Linked DNA regions of Drosophila melanogaster. The protein of the gene in region 3 interacts with the protein of the main gene of each other region in a pairwise test. Each region holds a gene or a part of one and is shown on either strand. Other genes may lie near its edges.

Region 1 (3,758 bases), on a different chromosome or scaffold from region 3:
TTTCTTGTATACAGAGCACAACAAATTCGTTTTAATTTTGGTTGTAACTGCCTCTCATTGTTTTTCTAGTTGACCTGCGTGTTTGCCGCAGGAACAGCAAATAATATTTACAATTTGATTAGGCTACAAACTTTTTGGCAGTTCTTTTACCGTAAGAAACCTTCGAGGAGGCGCTAAATGTGTCGGGTCAAGATAATTTCCACTTCAATGGTTATGTCACGATGATCTAATAAAATGCCTCCCATCTGCATAAAGGCAACTCATCTGCCGAGGCAATAGAGGTCAAGTTTAGTGCGAAAACTCAAAAGAGGAAGGCAAAAATAAAATAGCAAGTGCTAATGGGCCATTACGAAGTCAAAAAAAAAAAAAAAAACAATTGCAGTGCATGGCTAAAGCGAGAAAATCTTTTAAAATACAGAAGGATTTTCTTTTCTTTTTGGCGCTTGTGGAGGCAAGGAAAATGATGTAATAAGAAAAGCAAACACACGCACATACAAGCAGCCCGGAAAATTCTATCTAGACCGAAAAATCAGCATGCAATGCCATCGATGAAGTAAACACAAATGTGGAAAGTGTGTGCGTGTGTGTGGCTGGGTATGGAAAATGGGTGGAAAACCGTATGCGCAATTTTCTTATTGAGCAGATGCTCGAAGGCGTTTAAGTGGGTCAGAAATTGTACAGAGATATTTTCTCTCGCCTTTTTACGTTTATATGTTCTGGTCTACTTGCCATCAGTTCCTTGTGGGGCGTGTTGGAGTTACTACGCAGCAATCCCTTGAGGAAGATCTCATCGTGGTCGGATAGGTCAGTCGAGTTGCGAAAGGCGGCTAAAACGGAGCGAAAGTGTTTTAGATTAATCGCAGTCGTTAAATGACAATCGGAAACAGATGAAATGACATTCGTTTTGGCAGCTTAATGCTACCCTTTTCAATTCATACAATTCATACAATGATGGAATTCTAGAGGGAAATATTTAGATATACATGCATCTGATTTTTCGTTTTATAATCATATTCTTTGTTATCGATTTATTGTAAATACATTTAAAGACCGCATATCTTCAAACAGGTTTCAGATTATTCTTAGCTATGAGTACAAATCATTATATTTACTTCAAGCAGGCTTACTGAAATGCAACATAACTCTTGTCTCGTTTCACTTTTTGAATATGAATTGAAATATTTAGTTTGTAAATCTTTTAACTATTTAAACAACTGAAATCTTCAAAATTAAAACTTTATTAACAGAGCCTTAAAGGAAAAAGAAACAACAATAAAATGATAGTTTGGAATTTCGTATGAACTTCGCTTAAAATTCTCCTTTTGAGGACACCCCTGGCACGTACCGTTATCGGAGGTATCGTCCTCGCCATTCACTTTGTTGTTTCTGGCCAATAGCTCCACTTTATCCTGGCGAGCTTGGCGCCGCGACCGCGCGCTCCACCGAACCATTTTGAAGGAACTGGGAGGTGGCCAAAATAACAGACCGAATGAAGTAACCCCGGAGGACAGTCTCGTATTTCGGCCAAAAAAGGGTTATAACCCTTGTGTTTTTTTTCTTAGCCAGCCATATGCTTAGCTACTTGAACAGAACATGTCTTCCAGTGATAATCACTTGTTGTTATTGTTATAAACACAACGCCACGCAAACAACAAAAACAATAGCGCGGCTAAGAATTTCACTCCTCCAACAGCGCAAAAACAACCGACTTGTTTGTGAGAAAGAGGCTAACTAAACTGAAAACCGCTTTTGTTGCAGGTGATGCCAAAATCAAAGCTCCTTAAAACGAGAAAGCTTTTGCAGACAAAAAGTCAAATAACGTGTGCCTATCGGTTTTTAAATATTGTGCTTATCGGCGCCACTTCTTTGTTGGGTCGGTACGGTAAATGTACTTTATGTACGGAGTTCGAAAGCCTGTCATAAAAATGCATTCCACTGTTCTCAGGCCATTTAAATTTAATATTGTTTATTATCTTTAATTTTGCTTGTGATTGCTTTTTCTATAGCTATAACATAGCTAAAAATGGATGGCTTGGGAATCGCTGATGGTTTGTGCCATTGATAAACCGTGCGTTAATATTATAAAAAATTTACTTCGATTTGTACATAAATATGTACTCTAAACTGGACGACCAATAAATGTTCGTTCATATGCCAATTAGAAATCAATTTAATTAAATAGTCTTTAAATTGCTTATGGAACTTTATTTATGCCTTAACAAAACTCTGGGATGCAACAAACTTCGTTACTTCAATAAATATGCAATATTTTATTTCTATTAATCGAAAGGGTAATAGACGTCGACTTGCCATAGATGAAAAAACATCGTTTCTCGCTTGCGGTATTTTTCGAAGTTTCAGCATGCTTCGGTATTTTTCGGCTGAAACGATGCGACAGCTCTTGTTTTCATTCCGTTTTGAGCAGCGTGCGCGTACGGTGCTTTCCTCGCATGAAGAGTAAAAACAAATTAAATACCACTGTGGAATAACATCTCAGCGAACGAGTATACGTCGGAAACCGATTTGTCGCGCTAAGTAACACGAGATGCTTTTGGGATTCAAAAAAACCCATATTTATGTGATGATATATTAATGTAAACCCACTGTTTCGTTTACATTTTCGTTTTTGAATGACTGGCTGCGGAAATAACTATAGATTCGCGAAAGTACACTAAATCAGGCAGTAAAATCGGATTGGCAATCTTGGGAAAAAATCGAAGGAAAAGAGACGCCAGCAGCTTCCTCGGATTGTTTTGTTGTTTTCAGTTCGTTAGTGTGTGGCCGTTTTTCCGCCTGTGTTTGTGCAACAAAGTCAAAGTCGTCGAAGCTGCTGCAAAAATACGTGAAATGCAAATTGTGAAAAAGTTGCAAAAGCAACAACAGCAACTAGCAACAACCAACAACAACGCAACGACAACTATAACCGCAATCACACGGCCAACGCAACAATAACAACGGCCACAACAAAACGGCTTCGCGTGTTTTGAAAAATTGCATTGCAAATTAGTAATTAGCAACAACTAAAACAATAGCAATAAAAAAAAGGAAAATTGCGCGCCAAAATCGAAAGAAACAAAAGGATTACACATAAACAAACCGAAGAAGCAGAAGCAGCTGAGCGAAAGAGAGAGATAGCGAAAAATCAAAACAGAACAGGCAGAAATTCCTGTTTATCCACCTTCACCTCCGGCGACACCCCCCGTCGTGGTGAGTTACTTGTCTTTCGGTATTTGTGCCTTGTATCTTTCTTTTTGGTTCTTGTTTTATCCTCCGTCCGATTTGCTGTATGTCCTGCTGTAAAAAAAATTCGCCAAAAGTGCAAAAGTCAAGGCCCCCGTTTGATTCGCGCCCCTTTGACCATTGTGCGCAAGAAACCCGCAAATGTGCAAAAAATTTAGCTCAGCCATCGAGAGTCCTTGATTTTAGAGGCACAGTGGTTAAATGAGTGCCAAATGGTCGGCATGGTAACAGAAGTTTATTACATTTTTCTATTCTTAAACTGTTTCTTTATATAAACCTCATAAATAAACGCAGTTTTTAAATATATAAATGCCCAGATACGTTTTGAATTGTTTTATATTGAATGCCCTTTGATATAAAATAACACTCAACCTATTGGCAGACTCAGCTGGGAATTGAGCAATTTAAATATATATTTATACATGGAGAAATATGGATTTGAAATTTGCACCTTAACAATATAACAAAGGGTAACACAATGCTGATTAATGCACTGTGACGAAATCGGGGGAAAAAAA
Region 2 (3,758 bases), 5.9 Mb from region 3:
AAAGAGATCTTTGACAGTTAAAACAAGTGGTGACAATATAGCCGGAGTTTCCGACTATAAAACATCCTGGCACTGAAAAGCTTTTTAATCAATGTGAAATACTTCATGATCTGCAAAATTGAAAGAAAGACTTGCATAATTGACAGCATGTTCTGATAATCATGACGTATTCAACAAATCAAATAGAAGATAATAATACCACTTCAGTGAGGTCTAATCGGACTTATGGACAGAATGCAAAGAATGCTAAAGTGAATGCTTTTATCTGCATACTTTTAGTTCGTGATTCGTGACCTTCTTAATGGGTATTATCGGACAGAAAACAACAATCATGTCTAAAAAAAAAGTATAAGCATCAAGTGTGGCCTCGAAATAATCAAAAATCAATCTATTCAATGATTTCGAGAGGATTTGAGAAGAGCATCAACTCACCTTGCCCTTGCGCAGTCCTTTGAATGATAGTCGTCTTAATAGAGACTTTGAGAGCAGTTTTGGCACCTCGTGCTCCTCCTCGAAGTCCAGCGAGCCCGCACCTGATTTAAGAGTGCTCCTCCGCTTGAAGAACTCCGTGTCGTAGTGCGCCGAAAAGGATTCCACAAATTTCTGAGCAAAGCTGCGATGCTGGATGTTCCTCGCCTCCTCCGGCGGCAGATTGCCATTAATGTACGTGATGCACGCCTTGGCGAAATCCGAGGCAGCCACTCTGGCGTGTCGTTCGCAGAACTCCTCCCAACTGGTTCCACCGTATGCATACGAAGACACTCCCATGGCGTTGCCCGTGCCAATTGGTGCGGGTATCAGGTCACTTCCTGCTGCTGCTGCCGCTGCCGCCGATGAAGTTCCCAGGCTGTGATGACTGCTGGCCGACGTGGGCCCAATGTAACCGCCAGCGCTGAAGGCGCTCGTATTCGCTCCTGTGCTATTGCCACCCATTTGGCCAGGTGGTTGCCAGTTCCGCTGGTCCAGGTCCTCCTCCTGCTCCTGCTGCCGCTGCCTCTGCCGGTTCCGGTTCAGTTTGCCACACGAGTTACCCAGCTGGAGTCCGTTTCAAAAGCGCTGAAATGTTAGACAAACAATGCGATCGCGGTTTAGTCGAGTTACTTCGCAAAAACAGCGATCATTGCTGATCGCTTTGAAGAATACAAAAGCATTTATAGTTTAGTTGTTATATGTATTATATATTGGGCCGATGTGCAACGATCTATTTCTATTCTCTGACTCACAGGATTAAGGTTTTCAACGAGTTGGGGGAATTTTGGCAACTTTAATTCTAGAAAACTTGATAAGAATTAAGTGCTGACCAAAACAAAACAATAAAAAGTTAGCTTTGCTTGCTATTTAAACACAATATTGATTTTACAAGCCTGTTTATTGAGTTATTTAACAGCCTGACTTATTGATGGCGCAAAATGGTATATTTTCTTAAAACACGGGTATGCAATGTATATAATGATAAGCGCCCAGACTTAAGCACATATTTTTGTTCATAACAATGTACACTGAAGAATTTTGCATTTATGTAATGAATATTTACGCATGTTTGCACATTACATTAAGTAACACGCATTTTCAGTGCCACAATTAATCCTTTTTCTCGGCAATTAAAAGTAAACGAAAACAAACTTGCGGCGTAGCCCACACACACCCACTCACACAAATGCGAGGGCAGACACACACACCCACACAGCGGCGCGGTGGTGAAAAATTTCCCACAGGAATTTCCACGCCTACGTCACATCGCAATATGCGCGTGGAACACGCTTATAATATAATCAAAAATACTATTGAATTTGCCACTCGACACATGTAAATAACTCACTTTGCGGTTTAAGTATTATCTAAATGCTCGGCATCTTTTTTATGCTTTTATTTTTCTACACAAAGTGCATGATATCTCGCTCACACGCACACACACACAAACACACGCACATCCGCTCAAAATATTCTTTTGCGTTGTTTTGTTGTTGCGAGCAAAAGGAAGTGGCGAGTTAGTCAATAACTGAAGTGCACATACACTTGTTTGTTGTTAATTCGTAATCATTGGTTGCCAGTTCCGCTTGAGCTACCGTCTGGTTGCAATATTATTTATCACTGATTTGTTTGTGTTTTTTGCGATTTAAAACGAAAAAACCTCGACCGTGAAAATTAGAGCCGGACGAAAATCGATATGCATAGTATATATCTATCGATATTTGTTGTATCGATGTTCTTTCTGGAACGTAACCCCGCTAAATGGAGGTGTGTACTCGCTAACATGAATTTACCCGCTAAGTTGTGACCGCTCGCCACAGAAAACCCGATTACCGCAAGGTTGTAAACTTTGGTAAGCAAAATGGTGGGAAACTTAGGAATATTTTGGCGCCAACATTTAAATGTAAGGTTTCAAAAAAGATCTACCTACTACATTACAAAAAGCGTACATGCTTCCAATTTTTGTAAAAAACGCTTATAGGCAATGTTGTTTTAAATCTCACATTTTTATTGTTTCTATACGTTTCGAAATTGCATTTACTTAAAATTAATATGTAACTATCGTTTCCATATGCATACAGTATTTATTTATTTTTAGCTGCGTTAATAGTAAATAATTAAAATTCTTGAAACTTAATTTTGTGAAACACACGCAGTGCAACAGTTGTCGTCTAGCATTATTAATTGATTTATTGTTTGCAACGAACACATGCATTTTGGCAAAACATCATTATGGTTGTGAAGATGTGTGGGAAACATTGGGTGACAAAACGAAAAAATCGAAGGACGGAAATGAGCGTGTGAAACGGAAACGGATCTCGATTAAATGTGTATGAAGGCGAGCTTACTAACTATTATTTGTTGCATGGTGGTTTGTTATTATTACACATAACTTAAGTATTTACAGAACGTACTGCCCGGAACAGATTTCGAGTGGATGATGTATGATTGAAATTCGAATCTCAAACTGTCTTCTTGCTAGTCTTTTCGCTATGGTTTACAGAGTTATTAGTAATGCCTATTAGTTAGTAACTAATATTTCGCTTGACCTTTGTTCTACTCGCTAGTTATCTGCATGATTGGAGACATTAAAGCCAATTTGAATGAACTCTCGTATGAAGTATATATATATGTGAATATATAAAACCTTTCCGCTTAGGCTAAAAACTATAATTACTCGGTTTTTGCTTTTATTTCACTATGAAAACGAGGATCACCTAACTTAAAACGAAACTTAGTTAAGTTGAGTTAAAAAATACATACTCAATACGTTATTTAAGAGACAAACGTTAGTATTAGATCTTATGTGTGTGTGTTCTTCACATTGTATGCTGTTGGTTTTTTGTTTTTCTTTGCTTTTAGATAGAGTACACTCAGACTTCCAGTTGTTTTGATGGTTGTTGCGCGATAAACGGCTCGCTCCACATGCGCCGCAGGTCGCCCTGCAACAAGTAACAAAACATTACAGATATCGACCAAATTCGGAACTATTCGAGCATGGAGTATACCTTCAGATACGCCATCAGCAAGAGCGGCAATAACGTAAAGGGCACTAGATACAGCAGCGCCGGCTGGGCCGCCTTAAAGACCTCGGAGCTGACCGTCGCCGTTAGCAGGCCCAAGAAATAACTGCAATGTAATGGAAATTAGTATTTATATATATTTTTATAAGTAAGCAATTTTTCGTATACTCAAACATTCCATTTATTCAACAACTTACCCCAATAAGGAACAATGAAAGTATGTCAACCGGGAGCCAACTCCTCTGGGTGGTGACAATGTGGGAT
Region 3 (3,417 bases):
TCTCCTCCACGAGACTCGCAAAGTTTCTCCAGAAGATCAAAGGTCTCCAAAATGGAGGCAGCATCGCGTTGTTTTCGCAGGGATATGTGCTTCGCTTGTTCCAGTGCGGTATTTCGGGGCGGTTCTATGGAGAACTTCTGTTCTGCAGCCTCAGATTTGACGGTTGCACGTATCACCCGATGTTGGCTTCGTCTATATAAGCGTCGCCGGCGTTTTCTTTGTTTTTGTTCGTCGACTACTTGTTGGCCCGGTACTTGGTCAAGTTCATCCAGCAGGGTTGCCGTGCTCCGCTGCAGCTCCTCCGCCCGGTGCACATCGAAATCGCGACCTGCTCCACAGCTCTGTTGCTCCAGTTGCCCCAAACTCGATATAACTTGCTGAATCTTGGCTTTAACTTCACTTAATCTATGCTTTTTGTGCGGCGGAGTCATCTTATTTTGGTTGTTGGTGTTGGTAAACGCCTGAAGGTGCACATTGGGGGTAGTTTTAAAATATTTAATTATAGATTATTATTTTTATTTAGCAAAAGTGAGGCGAACGCCACCAGCAACTAGGCGATTCCTTTTCAAAAAAATATAATGTTATTTTTTTAAAACAAACAAAGGGGAAGAGTATTAGCTCAGTATGTGTGGATTCAAGCCGCTCTGCAGCTCAGAGCTCGGAGATGGAATTGCCATCAGGAATTTGCATTAATGCTGACATTAGGGGCAGTGAATTAAGTTTTGGGGTGGTTCTAGGTCTCCAGTTCAGCTTTGGCATCTTTGAGGATCTCTGCTGCCTTCTTATACGAATCTGTCTCGATCAGGTCCTGCTCATCGGCGAGGTACTTTTCCAGTACCTCGTACTCCTTCTGCAGTCTGTGAAAGGAACGTCCCATTAGGCTTTTGAAGGGGGAAACGGAAGAATGCATACCTTCTCTTGGAGTCGGGCACCATCATGATGCACTCCTGGATGACCTCCTCCTGCTTGCGCAGTACGTGGTCGTCGGCTCCGTCGCCCCTGAGCTTCTCCAACCGCGCCTGCTCGGTCAGCACTTCCTTGGCGTAGCAGTACTTCTCCCTGGTCAACCGCCGGACCACTCCGGATTTAATCACCAGTTGCCGGATGCGGGGGTCTGTCATTTTTGTTGGGCTGCGTTCTACTGCGTTCGCCTATGAACTGAAGTTAGTGAAGCTCGACGGGGACTTCCTGGCATGAATCACAGTTAATTCGACTAAACTTCGAACAGCCGGCTGAGATTCGGAGTAGTTGGCAATGTAGTGCAGTCTTTGTTGTTTTTGTACAGAGCGCCCAGTGAGTCAGAGCCCAAACCAGGGCTGCCAACCTATCGGCGGAACGAGTAAAATGAACCACTCGGAACCGCCTTAATTTGAATTTCATTTTAAACTGATTTCATTTTCTTCATAGATATTCAAGTATTTTTCAATTAAAAGGCGTTCGTGTGTGGTATTTTACGGTTAAGCTTCCTTTATTTTTCTCATCATTTAAAAGATCTTTTATCAAGCAACATGTTCTGTATCCAAGAATTGTTCTGGTGTCGGTTACAATTGTCTTCGATTTGTATAAATTCAGAGTGTGAGATTAACGTGTATAATATGCAGGATGCAGGTTATTATGGGCAATGAGATGACATGTGGCTAACGTATATTATGTAATATGCAAATGCAAATGAGGCTCGATTAAACATTTATAATGTTTTCAAAAACCGCATGATTATGTGTGTAATGTTGATTTCTTTTTTGTAATACTTCTTAAGCATTTGTCTTTTGGTTTCAAGAGAAATTTTGAATTCATCGCGAATGTAGTCTTTTCGGTTCGGGGGATTTTTGGGAGCGCGGACGTGGTTTAAAACTAAATTCGGAAATTACATATTTCAATAGATTTTAAATCGAATGCCTCCGACTTGACTTATCAAAAGTATAAAAAGTGTTTAAAATCCATTCGAAACAGGTGGATGCGACCGGATGTGTGGCTGCTAATCAAGTGTAAGGTTAGTTGTAGAGATGAGTATATATCGAAGGGGCGGGCTACAGCAGTGCTCCGGAGGCCCCTATCCACTCTGCGGAGTGGCTAGCGGGTGGTTTCCTACGAAAGGACTTGCGGTGACGATACATGTTCAGATAGCTGCAGTAGACCACCACGGCGAAGGCGACCAAAACCGACCCGGCGAGCTGGAAGGGCTCCTCCTTCGCATCCTCGCTGCACCTGATGCTCCTCTCCTCGCTAATCGTACGTGTGGTTATTATATAGGGTATAATCTGCTCGATTTCGGTTAATATCTGCCGCTTCTCCCAGCAGCTAGTAATAGTAGTAATTGGTGTCTCTCTTGCCATGGAGTCAAGGTGTGATTTTGATCGTCGAGTGGGTATTATAATTTTGACATGTGTATTGTTGTTGTGTGTTGTTGCTGCTGTTGCTCTAGCCGTCTGTTTTTGTTGTTGTTGGGTTCGAGTGATGACGTTGTTCTGCTGGCACCCTAGTTATTTCTTCTTCTGTGCCTTCTCAGCGGCTTTTGTCACCTTGCCCGAGGTCGTCTCTTTAAAGTTCACCGACTTGATGACGCCCACGGCCACGGTCTGCCTCATGTCGCGCACAGCGAACCGTCCCAGCGGTGGGAACTCCTGGAAGCTCTCTACGCACAACGGCTTGCTGGGCACCAGCACAATGATGGCCGCATCCCCGGACTTGATAGCCTTCGGCTCCGTCTCGGTGGTCTTGCCCGTACGGCGGTCGCACTTCTCCTTGATCTCGGAAAACTTGCAGGCAATGTGCGCCGTGTGGCAATCCAAGACGGGAGTGTACCCATTGGCGATCTGGCCCGGATGGTTGAGCACAATCACCTGTGGGCAAAAAGAAAAAAAAAAACCAAACAAAGATGAGTTCAACTATCAAAGATTTCTCATCTTTGTTACCCTACCTGAGCGGTAAAGTCGGCTGCTCCCCTAGGAGGATTGTTCTTGGAATCGCCGGCCACATAGCCACGACGGAGCTCCTTCACGGACACGTTCTTCACGTTGAAGCCAACGTTGTCGCCGGGCATGGCTTCGGTGAGAGCCTCGTGGTGCATCTCCACAGACTTTACTTCGGTGACCAGGTTGACCGGCGCAAAGTTGACGACCATGCCTGAAACGAAACCGGAAACGAAGCGACCGAAACGAAGTTACATATCCGGACGTTATGTGTAGACATTTGGATGGGGGTGGGTGCATACAGAGAGAGAAACGTGGAGCGATATTATTCGAACTAACTCCAATTTATTTTTATTTGAATCAATAGCTCTACATATATTAATATGTTAGCTAGGGTTATTTTATTTTAATGGCCTTTCACTTTCATGTTGAAAATGGAAGCTCTTCGGAGTGAGAATTTCACCAAGTGCATGAGGTGGAGGGTCTCGCTCTCGACGAAGACGTTCGC

What was found.
Region 1: the proteins of Tbca (region 3) and vari interact in a two-hybrid assay, tested with the Drosophila melanogaster proteins (one large-scale study listed by BioGRID).
Region 2: the proteins of Tbca (region 3) and Lnk interact in a two-hybrid assay, tested with the Drosophila melanogaster proteins (one large-scale study listed by BioGRID).

Annotation. Positions count from the first base shown.
Region 1 is NT_033779.5:20,795,308-20,799,065, forward strand, and holds the start of vari (varicose), read right to left. Parts: upstream 1,736-3,758; 5' UTR 1,452-1,735; coding exon 1,346-1,451; intron 828-1,345; coding exon 730-827; intron 1-729.
Region 2 is NT_033777.3:25,886,953-25,890,710, reverse strand, and holds the start of Lnk (Lnk), read right to left. Parts: upstream 2,170-3,758; 5' UTR 1,820-2,169; exon of another isoform or gene 1,646-1,819; intron 1,057-1,645; 5' UTR 934-1,056; coding exon 433-933; intron 9-432; coding exon 1-8. Other genes in the region: SppL (signal peptide peptidase-like), read right to left, coding at 3,345-3,413, 3,480-3,600, 3,692-3,758.
Region 3 is NT_033777.3:31,741,333-31,744,749, reverse strand, and holds Tbca (tubulin binding cofactor A), read right to left. Parts: upstream 1,261-3,417; 5' UTR 1,122-1,260; coding exon 913-1,121; intron 858-912; coding exon 734-857; 3' UTR 502-733; downstream 1-501. Other genes in the region: CG1896 (uncharacterized protein), read right to left, coding at 1-431; eEF1alpha2 (eukaryotic translation elongation factor 1 alpha 2), read right to left, coding at 2,481-2,840, 2,918-3,123.